Caenorhabditis elegans: one gene and its partner. The protein of the gene in region 1 purifies or fractionates together with the protein of each later gene. This does not show direct contact. Each region holds a gene or a part of one and is shown on either strand. Other genes may lie near its edges.

Evidence for each region.
Region 2: the proteins of spig-10 (region 1) and cdf-2 fractionate together in Caenorhabditis elegans (co-fractionation; one large-scale study listed by BioGRID). This does not show direct contact.

The regions. Positions count from the first base shown.
Region 1 is NC_003283.11:7,001,935-7,009,530, forward strand, and holds spig-10 (Inhibitor_I29 domain-containing protein), read left to right. Parts: upstream 1-4,329; 5' UTR 4,330-4,406; coding exon 4,407-4,470; intron 4,471-4,513; coding exon 4,514-4,779; 3' UTR 4,780-4,884; downstream 4,885-7,596. Other genes in the region: srab-4 (Serpentine Receptor, class AB (Class A-like)), read left to right, coding at 2,217-2,422, 2,961-3,390, 3,436-3,696, 3,744-3,833; drd-10 (dietary restriction down regulated), read left to right, coding at 5,678-5,848, 5,899-5,952, 6,087-6,290.
Region 2 is NC_003284.9:12,462,660-12,468,612, reverse strand, and holds cdf-2 (Cation efflux protein cytoplasmic domain-containing protein), read left to right. Parts: upstream 1-1,695; 5' UTR 1,696-1,835; coding exon 1,836-1,870; intron 1,871-1,976; coding exon 1,977-2,089; intron 2,090-2,156; coding exon 2,157-2,366; intron 2,367-2,413; coding exon 2,414-2,567; intron 2,568-2,837; coding exon 2,838-3,021; intron 3,022-3,102; coding exon 3,103-3,208; intron 3,209-3,519; coding exon 3,520-3,626; intron 3,627-3,670; coding exon 3,671-3,844; 3' UTR 3,845-3,973; downstream 3,974-5,953. Other genes in the region: myo-2 (Myosin-2), read right to left, coding at 1-106, 163-291, 402-464; T18D3.5 (uncharacterized protein), read right to left, coding at 4,236-4,427, 4,477-4,585, 4,701-4,795.

The sequences.
Region 1 (7,596 bases):
GTTGTAGCGTAGATCATCGCAAATCAGTTGTTTTTCAATTACGTCTGAAAAGTAGAAACTTCCTTTTCTACGAACCTGGTGATCAGGAATGCCCTGGTTTTCTGCTCAACACCTTCAGGTACATGTAAACTGATGCTTCATTTGTTTTCCGTGTAAAGTTTTTGTAGGTGTTAGGTTTCATTCCATGTGATCTTTTGAAACCATTTGGTAAACCCCCAAACAAATGTGTTTTAGTCTTTTCAATTGTATGCTAACATTTTTTTCGAAATGCTTTTAGGCTGGTAGCTCCATTCAATATTTTCCTAATCCTCTGTAAAAAAGAAAGAGAAGAATAGTTTTTTGTAATTGAAAATGTAAGTTTGCCACCTAGTTCTGCAAAATTTTTGATGATTTCTAACTTTTCTTTAGCATTTTTCAAACACAAAATAATCACTTCCTAAAAATGGAAAAATGCTGGAGCTTCAAATAATTATCTATTGACCTTTTTTTCAAGTTTATTTTTTTAGGCTTTGTTTTTCTTTATTTGTTTCAAAATTTTTTTTTTGTTTTTTAGTAATTTTTAGATTTTTAAAGTAACAGTATTAATTAATTTTCAACTATTTTCAACTATTATGTACAAAAACAAGATTTTTGATGAACAGGCTTTTTGATACTCCCAGCATATAATTAATTAAATTCAAAAAACAAATCACGCTATCATTTCCAACTCATCAGATATGAAAAAATGTTTTCTCAATACCGCAGTCTATTAAAAAAAAACGCCTGCCTACCTCACTAGGAAACCAACTACGCGTACCATGGGACCTGAAAATGTGAGCTTAACATCTAACTTAACTTTTTTCCGAAAACTTAAAAGAAACTTGCGGATTTTGGTACTATTAATTGGTGACTATTTTTAAATAATATGTATTATTATTTAGCATGAATTTTCAAATAGCAATAGTATGATTTAACCCAAAATCTAGAATTTCAATGTTATTTTCAGCTGATTAAATTTCGATTTTTTTTAAATCGATTTTTATATTGGGAATCGTGATGCATTTTCATAAAATTGTTAAATTTCAGAAATTTAGTCATGGATAATAATAATTTATAGGTATCGCACACGAACCAATCCCCCGTGTTCAGTTTTTTTGATTATCAGTTGTTCTGATTTCTCTCCGTTCCATTTGTTTGCTCACATTCGAAAAAGCATTCACTCACGCCAAAACGTCAATTTGGGAGGGTTGAAAATGAGGAAAAACAGATATCTCGAATGTGGCTGTTTTCTTTTTTTTTCTTTTGAAAATGTTTCCGCTCCTCTTTTTCTCGTGACCTTTTGATCCATGTTTCTCAAAGGAGAAATTTCGAATTAGCCATCTCTATCTCATAGATGATTTTCGAAACAAGGGGACAACCAAATGTGCGGCTATGTATAACATTGCTGAAGCTGCTCATTTAAAATTCCGCGTGGCAAGTACTAGAAAAGCACTCAACTTCATCTTCTTATTTTTGTTTCTTTTTAAATTTTCTAGCACCCGTCCTGTTTCCGTTTCCAACCCACACGTGACACCACTTTTTGGTCTTCACATATTGTTTGAGATCTTCCCCCGGAAACCAGTCGCATCTAGTAGCAATTGGACTCTGTGCAAACCCGAGAGTTCAGTATTTCTTACTCGTTTCCTTTCTATTGTCCTCTCTTTTACCTTCAAGAAGGTTTTCATTCCACAGCACTCCCACACATGGATATCTATTCTTCTTTCTACATCTCTACGTGAGCATCGCCAATTCCCAAAGTCCCAAAAGTGTACAAATTGGACGTTGATTAGTGGAAATCATACGACTAACGGCTCATGAAAATTCTCTATTTAGTGTCTCACTTTTCAACTATACAAGTTGATTTTTAATTTCTAAAAAATATTGTTTCCGATATATTATTTTTATTTTTGTTCTCTTTCTATGTACAAGTATCAGCATGTTAAACTAGACTCACAAATTGCTCAAAAGAACTAGGTGCAAAATGAAAGCATATATGCTGGAATAATTTTGTTATTCTCAATTACCTAGTCTACTTTACCTTGAAAAAGATATTTTCGGCCAAGTTCCGTTTCTTTTTCCATAAATAAAAGTTTGAAAACCTGGTATCTAATTAAGAATTTGATGGTAGTCTATCAATTTTGTCCTTCAATTTCCATTTTCTTCTATCAAATTTTCCACTCAAGAATTAATGTTTCAGAATGTCGGACTGCGAGCAGATGACAGATATGACCACATCTTTGTGGCTCCGGCTATCCCTTTTTGTGAATCTCGGCATCACGATAATCTCGTTTCCAGTTCTGTTAACTGCTTTACACTATATAAATTCTCAGCAACTGTTTCATCGGAATACAAGGATTCAGATTAAAGTTCACATATTTGCATTGTTGGTTCATTCCACAGGAAGGTGAGTTGTTTTTTGAATTCGTTTGGGAAATAATTGAGATGTTAAATTCTGTCCTGAAAAATTGTTTCTAATTAATGAATTTTAAAATTAATGAAATACTGTAATATTACTTTTTTTTCATATTTCAGTTTAAAAATCTAGGGGACAGTTTTACGCGTTACGCTAATGGTGCGAACAAAAATGTTCGGCGTTCGAAAATGATTTTTTTTTAATGTGGTAATAATCTAGGATATCCTTTTTCAGTTTTATCGTTTCAAATTATCTTTGTGCAAAAAAAGCCAGCACGTGAGACACCAATAATGGTTGCCACATTTTGAACCTCCCAAAATTATTTTTGTCACTCTTCCATTTTTCATAATGATACGCTAGAATGGCAAAAAGAAGTTAGTAGCAATTTGGAGTTAGTCAGTTAAATTATTGTTTTCTAGTATTTGGGCACGTGTTCGAATTTATTAAAAAACGACAGTTTGTTATTTAGGGACTACAAATATTTATATTTCTATATGGATAAACAGTTTAATTTGGTTTTTTTTTTCAGATTTGCTCTTCATTCCCTGGACCTCATAAACTATTTTTCAAATACTGGTTGTGATGCTCTACCCGATTTCTATCGATGTCTTGTTGTTCGAGGACTTTATAACTTTGGAATGGCGCTTGCAGCAATGTGCTCAACAAGTCTTGTCATCGAACGAGCAATAGCACTTCACTATAACTCGACTTATGAAATGTGTGGAAGAGGATTCGGTGTTCTTCTAGGATTTCTTCAACTTTTCCTCGCATTTGCATTCTTGTTTAAACTCTACTTTGATGCCTCATTTACACCAGTCCCAAATGTTACTCTTTATTATTGTCAGACTCTAGCTTCCGGTCACGGATCCGTCTGGACAATTAATGCTCCACTATATGCAGTTATGATTGCTCAGTGTGTATGTAGATTGGCGTTTTGGTACATCGGAGTGCAAACTAAAGTAAGTATCTTTGACATTGAAGAATCAAATAAAATCAGTTTTCAGAGGAAGAGAAACACCCAGAAACTACAAACACTGAGCACTCGGTATACTTTGGAGCAAGGAATTCGATCTATAAAAGCACTGAATATGTTCATTAACGCCAATTGTTTCGTATTTTTCTTTTTCTCGTTTATTGGAACTTCATTACATTTTAATTCGAGTAAAATGAGCAGACCAACGTACTTTGCTCTCGTGGAAGTGATTCATTTTATTCCAACTTATGGAATTCTACTTTCAATTTACATTTATTTTTCTTTGAAAAAGGTAAATCAATTCTAGTTAGAAAGTAATGTTAATCTTAAATTTTTCAGCTTGACTCAAAGCAAAAGACATCACTCACAAAAAGCATGCAGATGGATCCGAGTCGTTATCTGATCGAATTCAAAAAACAAATTGGTTAAGCCACGTACATATTTTATTTTATTTTATTTTTGTTCTGTGAACATTTTCATTACCAATGTATTGTGATAAATGAAGACTAAAAGGTCTTCCTAATTTTTTTTGGAGAACATTTTTTTTCTTACTTTTTCTGTAGTTGTTGCAACAGGAGTATTCAAAGCAATTTGTTTAATTAACCTAAAATTAATTAGATGATAAATGTTGCCAGAAACCCGGAAGTGCAACTTGGAAAATATTATTCAAAATCTGGAACTTGACAATTGTAATAAATTGAAATCACGATGCACTAAACAAATTTGTTACTTAATCTAAAGTAAAAGTTATTTTGATACACAAGGTCCTGAGAGATTTTAAATCACGTTTCCAACATCAAACTTTTCACACACTACGAGTTCGAAGAGTTCGATCTTTGAAATGATCACTACCAATAAAAAATAATTCAACTTAAAAACTAGTTCGGATCAAATCAAACACATACCATCATCAAATATAACCCTCATATCGTCAGATTATCCTTTTCATTCTCCTTCATTCTACCATTTCTACCATTTCTACCATTTCTGTTTAACCGGACAATGTGCCGATTTCTCGTCGCCCTCCTTTTTACGGCAATTTCTGTCTATGCAGGAGCTCCAACAGGTTTGTTGCATTCAGTTTTAGATCTAAAAATAAAATAATTCAGCCGAGGAAGCAAAAGCTGAAGTAGTTGCCGCCGGTGTCTCTGAGGCCGCCGCTGATGGAATTTTAAAGATTGCGGAGACCTACAAGGGCCAATTCGAGGCAGCAAAAGGTGATCGGGAAGCTGGAAAGAATGTTTTTCACACATTCCACGCAGAGGTTGATAAGTACATGGAAACACAATCGGAAGACGACCAGATTGCTTACAAGGCATTTGTTGATAAGAAGAAGGCCGAGCTTCAAAAACGTAACAGTACACCAAAGGCTTAGATAATCATGGAAGATCTATATTTGGTTAATAATCTGCTGAGAAAGTATTTGTCATTTATATGTCTTCTAAAATTAATTATTTGGATAAAGTACTACATATTCAGATTTATATGAAGATAGAGAACCAGGGAGTTTTGTATAATGGTAAAAAATGGCTTGAGTCGAATATTTAGAATTTAAATCTCGAAGCCTTTGCCCAAGGTTTTAAGACTTCTCCCATCACAAATTCAAGCAAAAAGCCCTTCTTACAAAAATAGTTTTTTTTAATATTAAGTGAAAGTTTATGAAACATCTCCACCTCGGGAATGCGGACAGGCGTTTCAAGCTTATTTTTATTTTAGTTTATGATTTAATTTTGTTCAAGCCTTGCATACACCAAATAATGAAACGCAAAAGCGAGAGAAATTTTAATTTTTTAAAGCGCAAATCAATATAGCAGTGGACATTTGTAAGCGCATTCGGAAGCAGCACTTCCGAAGTGGTTCAGAAAAAGGGTTTTAGGACTTTTCGCTTGCTATATCAGTTTGTTTCTTCACGATTTTTAAATAAGTGAATAAATTTTCAAAAAACAAATAACTTCGCATAAAGATGAATATAATTATTTATTCGGATGTCACAAGATTATTCAGAATTAAAAAATGTAACGGAAACAAACGTTCAATACGCTCCCAGTGGTGTTACAGGCTGAAGATTTTGATTTAGTTTCTTGATCTCCTACTTTTGTTCATATTTTTCTATCAAGTTTGTGTCTTGTGCAGTTCATTTGAAAAACACGAAATTTTTTCTGATCGAGATCTCAAAATTGATATCGATGGCGAACAATTTCGGTTCATGCCTTCGGCCCGGTCATCCTATAAAAGAGTCTGATAGAACCAAAATATAATAAGAAAGTTTAAACATGAGAACACTTCCTATTCTTCTTCTTGTCATAGTCGGCGTTGTCTACTGTTATCCATTGAACGAGGACAATGTCGATTTGGAATCGGATGTTGCCGAGATGGAGGGAGCTGAGTTGGACAGAGTGAAGAGAGCAAGTGATCATAAACTTGAGAAGAAGTTGGATGAAATCGTGAGTTACTACCATATTTGATGGTAACTAATGAAAATTCAAAATTTCAGATGGAAAAGGTCGAGAAGATCAAGGACAAGATTGAAGAGAATAAGGAAAAACGTGTAAGTAATTAAAGCGTATTAAAGTTGACTTGGTTTGCTTAAAAATATTTTATAAAAAATTGTATAACACATGAAATTTATGTTTTATATTAATAGTATGTTTTAAACTCATCTTTATTTATTTTTAATTTCAGGAGAAGAAGAATAAGAAGAAGGGAAACAAGAAGGACGAGGACGAGGAGGAGGAAGAGGATAAGGATAAGAAGAAGAAGGACAAGAAGAAGAATAAGGATAGTGAAGAGGAAGAGGACAAGAAAAAGGATAAAAAGAAGAAGAATGATAGCAGCGATGAATCCGAAGAGGAAAACAAGAAGAGAAAGAACAAGAGAAAAAACTGAACAGCTTTACTTTTCATGTGAATAGTAGTTTCTTGTATTATCATTTCGACATCAATAATAAACCTTTGAAATTCTACAAACTTAAATTTATGTAGTAATTTCACGGAATTCGATATTTTAATTTGAATCAATAGATTTGATTTGTAGATGTGCACATTTTTGAGAGGCAAACAATTAAAATTAAATCATTATTTTTCTTTAAAAAAACAGTTAGCAAAGTCAGATTCAATTACTTCTGAAAATGGAGGAAAGGCCAGACTTTGGATCGAACATTAAAAAAAAAACAAAGTACTTTTGGAGTTTTCATTTTTTCATCGCTCTTTAATTTATGTTTTGATAAATTATCCGTTGCGGAACTGAAAAGTTGCCAAAATTTGCGTAGTGAAAATAGGTATTTTTCCACAACTTTGAACCACCATGACTTTTTAGATCAAGAAATGTTCAGAGCGTCTCACTACGAAATTCGGTAATTCTGGCCTGCTTTAGGTCTCAAAACGCAACGTCTAAGATTGCTGTATTCCACCTTAGAAAGTTTTAAAAAATTGAAAAATATGGTGAAACACAACTGCTCAGAACAATATTTAACTGAAAAAAACCTGTTTTGTAAAGTTAAGGTAAAAAAAAACGATCTAAAATTATCCCTTTTATACAATACAGAGCCCGATCTATTTTCTGTCTTGTGCTGCTTATAAAAAAATTCACGACAGTTGCTTCTTGTCATTATATTTTTCAAAACTATCTTCTAGTTGACGCTCAAGAAATCATGGACCTTGAAACCTTGTGTTCTCGGTCAGCTCTAGACTCTCTGTCCAATCCACACTCTTTAAATTTTTTTTTTTGAAAAAGCATTCGTAAAGTATCGGTGGAGTTCAAAAGGTTGAACTATTCGATTCTTGGTTCAAAGTTGTTTTATCGATGTGATTGACAGCTCGAGACCACATAAATAGCACCAGAGAATAACCAAAAATTCAGTTGATCCAAGATTTTTGAATCCGAAAATTTTTCAGAAAAATCATTTTTAGTTTCCGTTTTAATTCAATATTATGTTTCTCTCCGATATTTTTTCGCTAATGAAAATAAATAAATAACAGATTTTTATTAGTATTGCACCTCAAACATTGTTGAAAATTTAAACCTGCATTATCTATTGGTGTTGCACTCAGGTTCAGTTGCGAGAGCCACTTCTATAACACAGTTTTTAAATCTCATTTTTGATGATTGTTTTCAAATTATCGAAAAAAATAATTTTCACATTGTATTTTTGATACAACAATCGATAATTAACTGTTTACATACACATAACCTA
Region 2 (5,953 bases), on another chromosome or scaffold:
TGTACAATACGGAAGCATCGTTAAGGAAAGTCAGGTTAGACATGTCTTCGGTTTTCTCGAATTTTGGTGGATTCATCTCTTGGACAACATCCTTTTTGACAGTCTTCTACAGAAAAAAGCAACATAATAATTGACAAATAAGTGGTTTTAAAATTCACTTACCTCGGCTCCCTGTCCAATGGACACAGTTACATTATCTCCAGCGGTTTTAGTGATGACACCCTCAATGTATCCGTCTTCCGAATCTGGGATCCAGACGTTCTTCTTGGAGTCATATGCGCGGGATTGATCCTTTAAAAATGGAAGTAAAAAAGTGAAAATTTATAAAGATGATTTTTTTTTTTAAACTAAGCAAGCTTATAACATTCTTTAGACAAAAAAACCATGCTTTATAAAAGTACCTGGAGCATCTCCTCGCGACTGCGGCGAAGGTACTTCCATCCTGGGTCGTTTTCGTAATCCATTTCTGTGTCTGACGATCGAGGGTTAAAATGAAAAGTGGTGGAGAGAAGTCAACCGCTCGGTGGGATGCGCGAGCCTGGAGATAACTTTGATTTTCGGCGAGCCCTTCTTTTTCCCTGGGTGGGTGGATTGGGAGGCGGGGATATCCAATTGTAATTCTAGGTAGCTGAAAAGTGTCTGCACACTGTTCTCTAACCATCGACGCAGGAAAAGTCTCTTTCTCAAGTGCAAATAGCAAAAATCTTCTTTCTTCCCCCCCATCTTCCGAGCAAGGCGCCCCCACGGATAGTTGCTCGCTGGCGGTAGGGAGCGAAGAGAGCAGAGAACCTCAACGGGATAGTGGGGATACGAGAAAAGAAACGGCATTTTAGGTTAACTAAAGATAGTGAAGAAGCCGGCTCAATGCAGAGAGGCAGACATCCGACGGCAAACAACGAGAGAATTTTATCCAGAACAATGAGTACAGTGTGTGCGCGCAAAGTGCTCTTCCTGCCATTTTGCTACTCTTATCCACACAACCACTTTAGCGATTACCAACCTATCTTGAGACTTATCTTTATTTTCTCTTCTTTTGCCGACGAAACGGGAGAGAGGGGCAAAAAATGAAGAATCGGGGGCACTGATTAACACACTTACTTTTTTTTAGGCTGAAGCACACATTGCTGTTCGGGGTGTAAAGTTCAGCAGAATTCAAAGCAAAAGACCACCCGCATCGGTAGTCAATATTGATCTGGAAGATTATTAAAAATTGTCAGAGTGAGCCATATGCATATGAATTTAATTCATACATAACATTTATAAGACAGGAATAAATACCAAAGTGAAGTTATTATTTGGTCGATTATCACTTTAGCATAGTGAAAGTATCCCTCAATGTCTCTACTTGTAAACTCAGTTGATTTACAAACGTTGTTTTATTGATTATAAAATTAGTTTTATGGACATTTAAAGCAAAGGATACTACTCAGATATAAAATGTACGACGTTTTCAATACTTTTACATTTCATTTTTGTTCTTGTAGCTTATGGGGATGTCACAATAAAACGTCCACAGCACAAAACCCACAATGTACAAGGTATAATTATGCTTATCAAAACTCGAATTGCAACCTGGTCAGGAGTAATTATTATTACAGACAGTTACTGTCCACCACCCCCAATTCAAATGCCTCGAGACATGTTCTAGTTTATGATTGATAACACACAACTTCCTTCTCTAAACCTCCGCACGCTATTCAATAATGATAACAGTGCCCATATACAAGTTGCTCCATTTTCTCGTACACTATACACAACACAATTATTCTGCGTCTTCAATTCTATCAAAACAAAATCGATTGGCCTAATCGGTTTCCTTTTCTCCATAATCCATAATGATTTCTGAACGAGCACCACTACTTGAAAATGGGTTAGTTTTGTGATGTAGTTGATGTTCGTTTATATCAGAGTTGTGATTTCCTGTGCTTCTATGACGTATTACCAAAGAAAAAACATGAGATCTTTTTGTATTACAGAGTTCCTCACATTTATAATACAGACGAAGGTAGAAAAACCACAGTCACCTATGATAACTTTCATTGCCACGATGAAGCTGACTCAACAGATTCACATGATAGCAATCGGAGAGGTATTGCTTTTAAAATTTCTGCCAAACTCGAGTCCTAATGAAACCTTCTTCAAACTATTTGTTTCAGCAACGCGAATTTTATGGCTCACCGTCGTGCTCTGCCTATTTTTTATGGTTTGCGAAGTTATTGGTGGTGTTCTCGCGGGCTCACTCGCAATTGTCACAGATGCCGCACACTTGCTCACTGATTTTGCGTCAGTGCTCATTTCGCTGTTTTCTCTGTACATTGCAAGACGGCCACCATCGCAAAAAATGAGCTTTGGGTTTCATAGAGCCGGTGGGTAGTTGGAAGAATTGAGCGACATAGTTTGAAATGAATTTCAGAAGTTTTGGGAGCATTTTTCTCAGTTTTCCTTATTTGGATAGTCACTGGAGTATTAGTTGTTCTCGCAATTATGAGAATTGTCAGCGGAGATTATGAAGTAGAAGGAGGAATTATGGCTTTGACAGCCGCTCTTGGAGTGGTTGTAAACTTGGTGTAAGTGTTTTTATGAAACGAGTCTGATAGCTTTATTAACTGGTATACACTTTTTTACTTCGATTTGAAATCGATATTTGGCATGAACTTTTATCCGGGTGGGAGCCCCAGGAATGTTGACATGTCAGAAAAATGTCTGTCCATGTTATTTTCTTTTAACTAAAAATTAGGCTGTCACGGACTTACGGTTTTCAAAGAAATTTTTTTGAGTTCGAAACAAATCTAATGTGACATATGTATCTTAATTGATATTCAAAATCAAAATTTAAGCATGCTTGCATTGTTGTACTTTGGTGGTCATTCACATTCTCACGGAGGCGGAAGCTCTCATGGTCACTCTCATGGTGGTGGCAACGGCGATAACATCAACGTCCGAGCAGCTTTTATTCACGTTCTGGGAGACCTTTTACAAAGTTTGGGCGTTCTTGTTGCTGCCCTTTTTATCTATTTCCAGGTGAGTGTTTTTTTCTCGGCAAACAATGACGTCTTATCAAATGTTCTGTAATTTTTCAAACACAATGGATCACTGTTTCAGCCGTCTTGGGTTATTATTGATCCAATTTGTACACTTGTTTTCTCGGTTATTGTGCTATGCACCACTATCTACATATTGAGAGATGCTATGATTGTTTTATTGGAAGGTCAGTGATACGTTTCAGTGGCAACAACATTTCTAGCTTTTTAGCGGAGTATCAAAATAATGTTTTTTTATTGAAAAAAAAAATAATTTTAAAAATTTTATTGCCTTGAGATTTCAGCAGTTTTGACAAAAACCTGTTTTTCATTCAAATTAAGCAGATTACTCTTTCCTTGCAAAATTTTCAAAATTTTCGAAAGGCGGGAACAAAAAAAACAAAATTGTTTTATTTTCAAAAATTCAGTTTATAATATTATCTAACTTTTTTGAATTCCCAAAATTCTCGCTGATTTCCATAACTTTTAAAATTTTCAGGTAGACCTAGCAACATTGACTTTGCGAAAGTATTTTCGTCCCTTGAAGATATAGAAGGTGTTAAAAAGGTTCATGACTTGAGAATTTGGAGTTTGACGATGGACAAGGTAGACATGACACTCAAAGCGGATTAACCCAAATTGTTTTCCAGATTGCACTCTCCGTACACTTGGAAATTGACGCCAATAGTCAATCTCAGTCAATTCTACGCGAAACTCGAAAAATGTTGAAACAAACGTATAATGTACATGAGATTACAATTCAAATTGAGGAGTTTGGAGCAAATAGGTCGGATTGCGGAAAGTGCGATTTCCCAACAAAATAAGGAGGGTTATGTGATTACATTTTATTATTGAATGAGATTTTTGAATTTTATTTATGTATTTGTTGTCAATTTTTGTTTGAAAAAAAAATGTTTCGACTCCCTGATAAAACCAATAACAGCACAAAAGATATTCTTGTTCATTCATTCCTGTTTCATTCATTCCAGAATTGCTTAAATTTTATTTTCAGATCATAACCTTTTAGATTTTTGAAAACTAATGATCCAACGTTTTTAAATTATTTCAAATTTTCAAAATTCAAAACATTTTGTAGCTATATATTAGACGTAAAACAAAAACTGCACATGTTCTTTTAACAAAACAAATTCCCTTAGAACAACACTATTTATTAACGTTCCCAACTAAAAACTAAAAAAAAACAAAATCAAATATTCAAGGAATTTTCTCGGAAGGTTTGTTTTCCTCATAATAATCGCAGCATCCATCTGAATCCAGATCTCTTTCATATTTCTCGCAAAGTTTCTGGAACATGTCATTGAAGTCTTTTTCAACACGTTCCAAATGTTTATTAGTTTGTTTCCGACTGAACCGATGAGAAAATTCTCCCTCTGCAACCAACGTGACCTGAAAATATGAGTTGAAATTTTCGATGATACAAAGTGATTCAACAAACCGATTCACCGACGTAAAAGTCGTTCATATGACGTAATGCGAAGCAGAATAAAAGACACAGAATTACAACGAGCCAAACGTCGGAGTTGTCACGAGATGCTTCGTTTTCTCTGGAACAGATTCAAAAATTTATTTATTCGAAAACAATTATGAACATATTGGTTCAAAAGAACATTGACGAAAAGTTAAATGTATAAATGTATTACATTTTATGTAATGAATTACCTAGGGGAGTGCTGCTCATCTTGAGCGTTAGCCAGTGTAATTGAAAGGATTATTATAATAAGCAGGCAGGTGAGACAATTGCACAATTTTCTCATTTCAAATCAACTACCGAGGATATGTGGACAATGCTGAGCTTTCGCCATTTTGACATTTCCGCAAATAGTCTCTGACTGTTTATTTGTTGAAGAAAATAACTGATAGGCAACTGAAGTTAAGCTGTTAATTTTTATAGGCTATAATAAATAGAACTTCGAAAGATGGAATACAAACTTTCAAAAATATGCGGTAAAGCACTTTTTTTAATTGATAAAGTAATTGGTAAACTTAAAAAAACTTACTTCAGGGTTGTCAATATTGGCTGAAGAATATTAACTTTCAATCAGAAAGATGTAAACAGAAGTTGACAAATATTTTGAAATGCAAAATTTATTTATAACAATTTTTACAGTACTCAAAACGAAATTGCAATAAAAAAATAATTTTAAACTAGCTTATTTGATTCCACACCTTAGATGCCCTTCTTGTCAGTGTGCTAAATTTTTTTTGATTACTGCCAGAAGTCTCCCAACAGTTTCGAAGTATTTTTAAAATTTGACATTTTTGTAGATTTAAATCAAAAAATAAATATGATTTTCCAAGTTGTCGTCACTATCTTGTTGGCATTTAGTGAAATAAAACTACCGACAAAAAATATGTTCACGTAAAAATATATAAAAAATCAGAATAACTGATATGTTCAAAAACGTTGGTATTAAAGTTTATTGTGCAAAGTTGTAGTCTATGAAATGTTTGGTGATGTCAAGTTTCGGGAAAAAAACCACCTCCGATTGTTAAGTCTAATAATTTCTAATCAATCAATGTGTAAAATTTAGAAATAATTTATTTCAGAAACTTCATGATTGGCAGATGACGTTGTTACCTTCACTGAGCCCCTTATTCCTACGGTAGGTGCTCGCCACGCCTCTTCACACATCTTCTGCGATTGTTTTCGAGTTATCACCAATTTGACTCCTACACTATTTTCCGCTGTATTGAATAACAAAATATCAGTTTCCATCCCAATCAATACTAAAACTGTGTATCCAGTTTGGTCAGCTTCCGGTCAGTTTTGAACATTCTGTCTTTATTGTCCGCTACCGTCCCCGCTCGTACAACATTTTGTGTTTGTCCACAAATTATTGTGATTGCTCTTGTTGTTGTGCGCCCGTGTAAATGCCAATTTTTGTCTGTGTGACTATAAGAATTGAAGTATA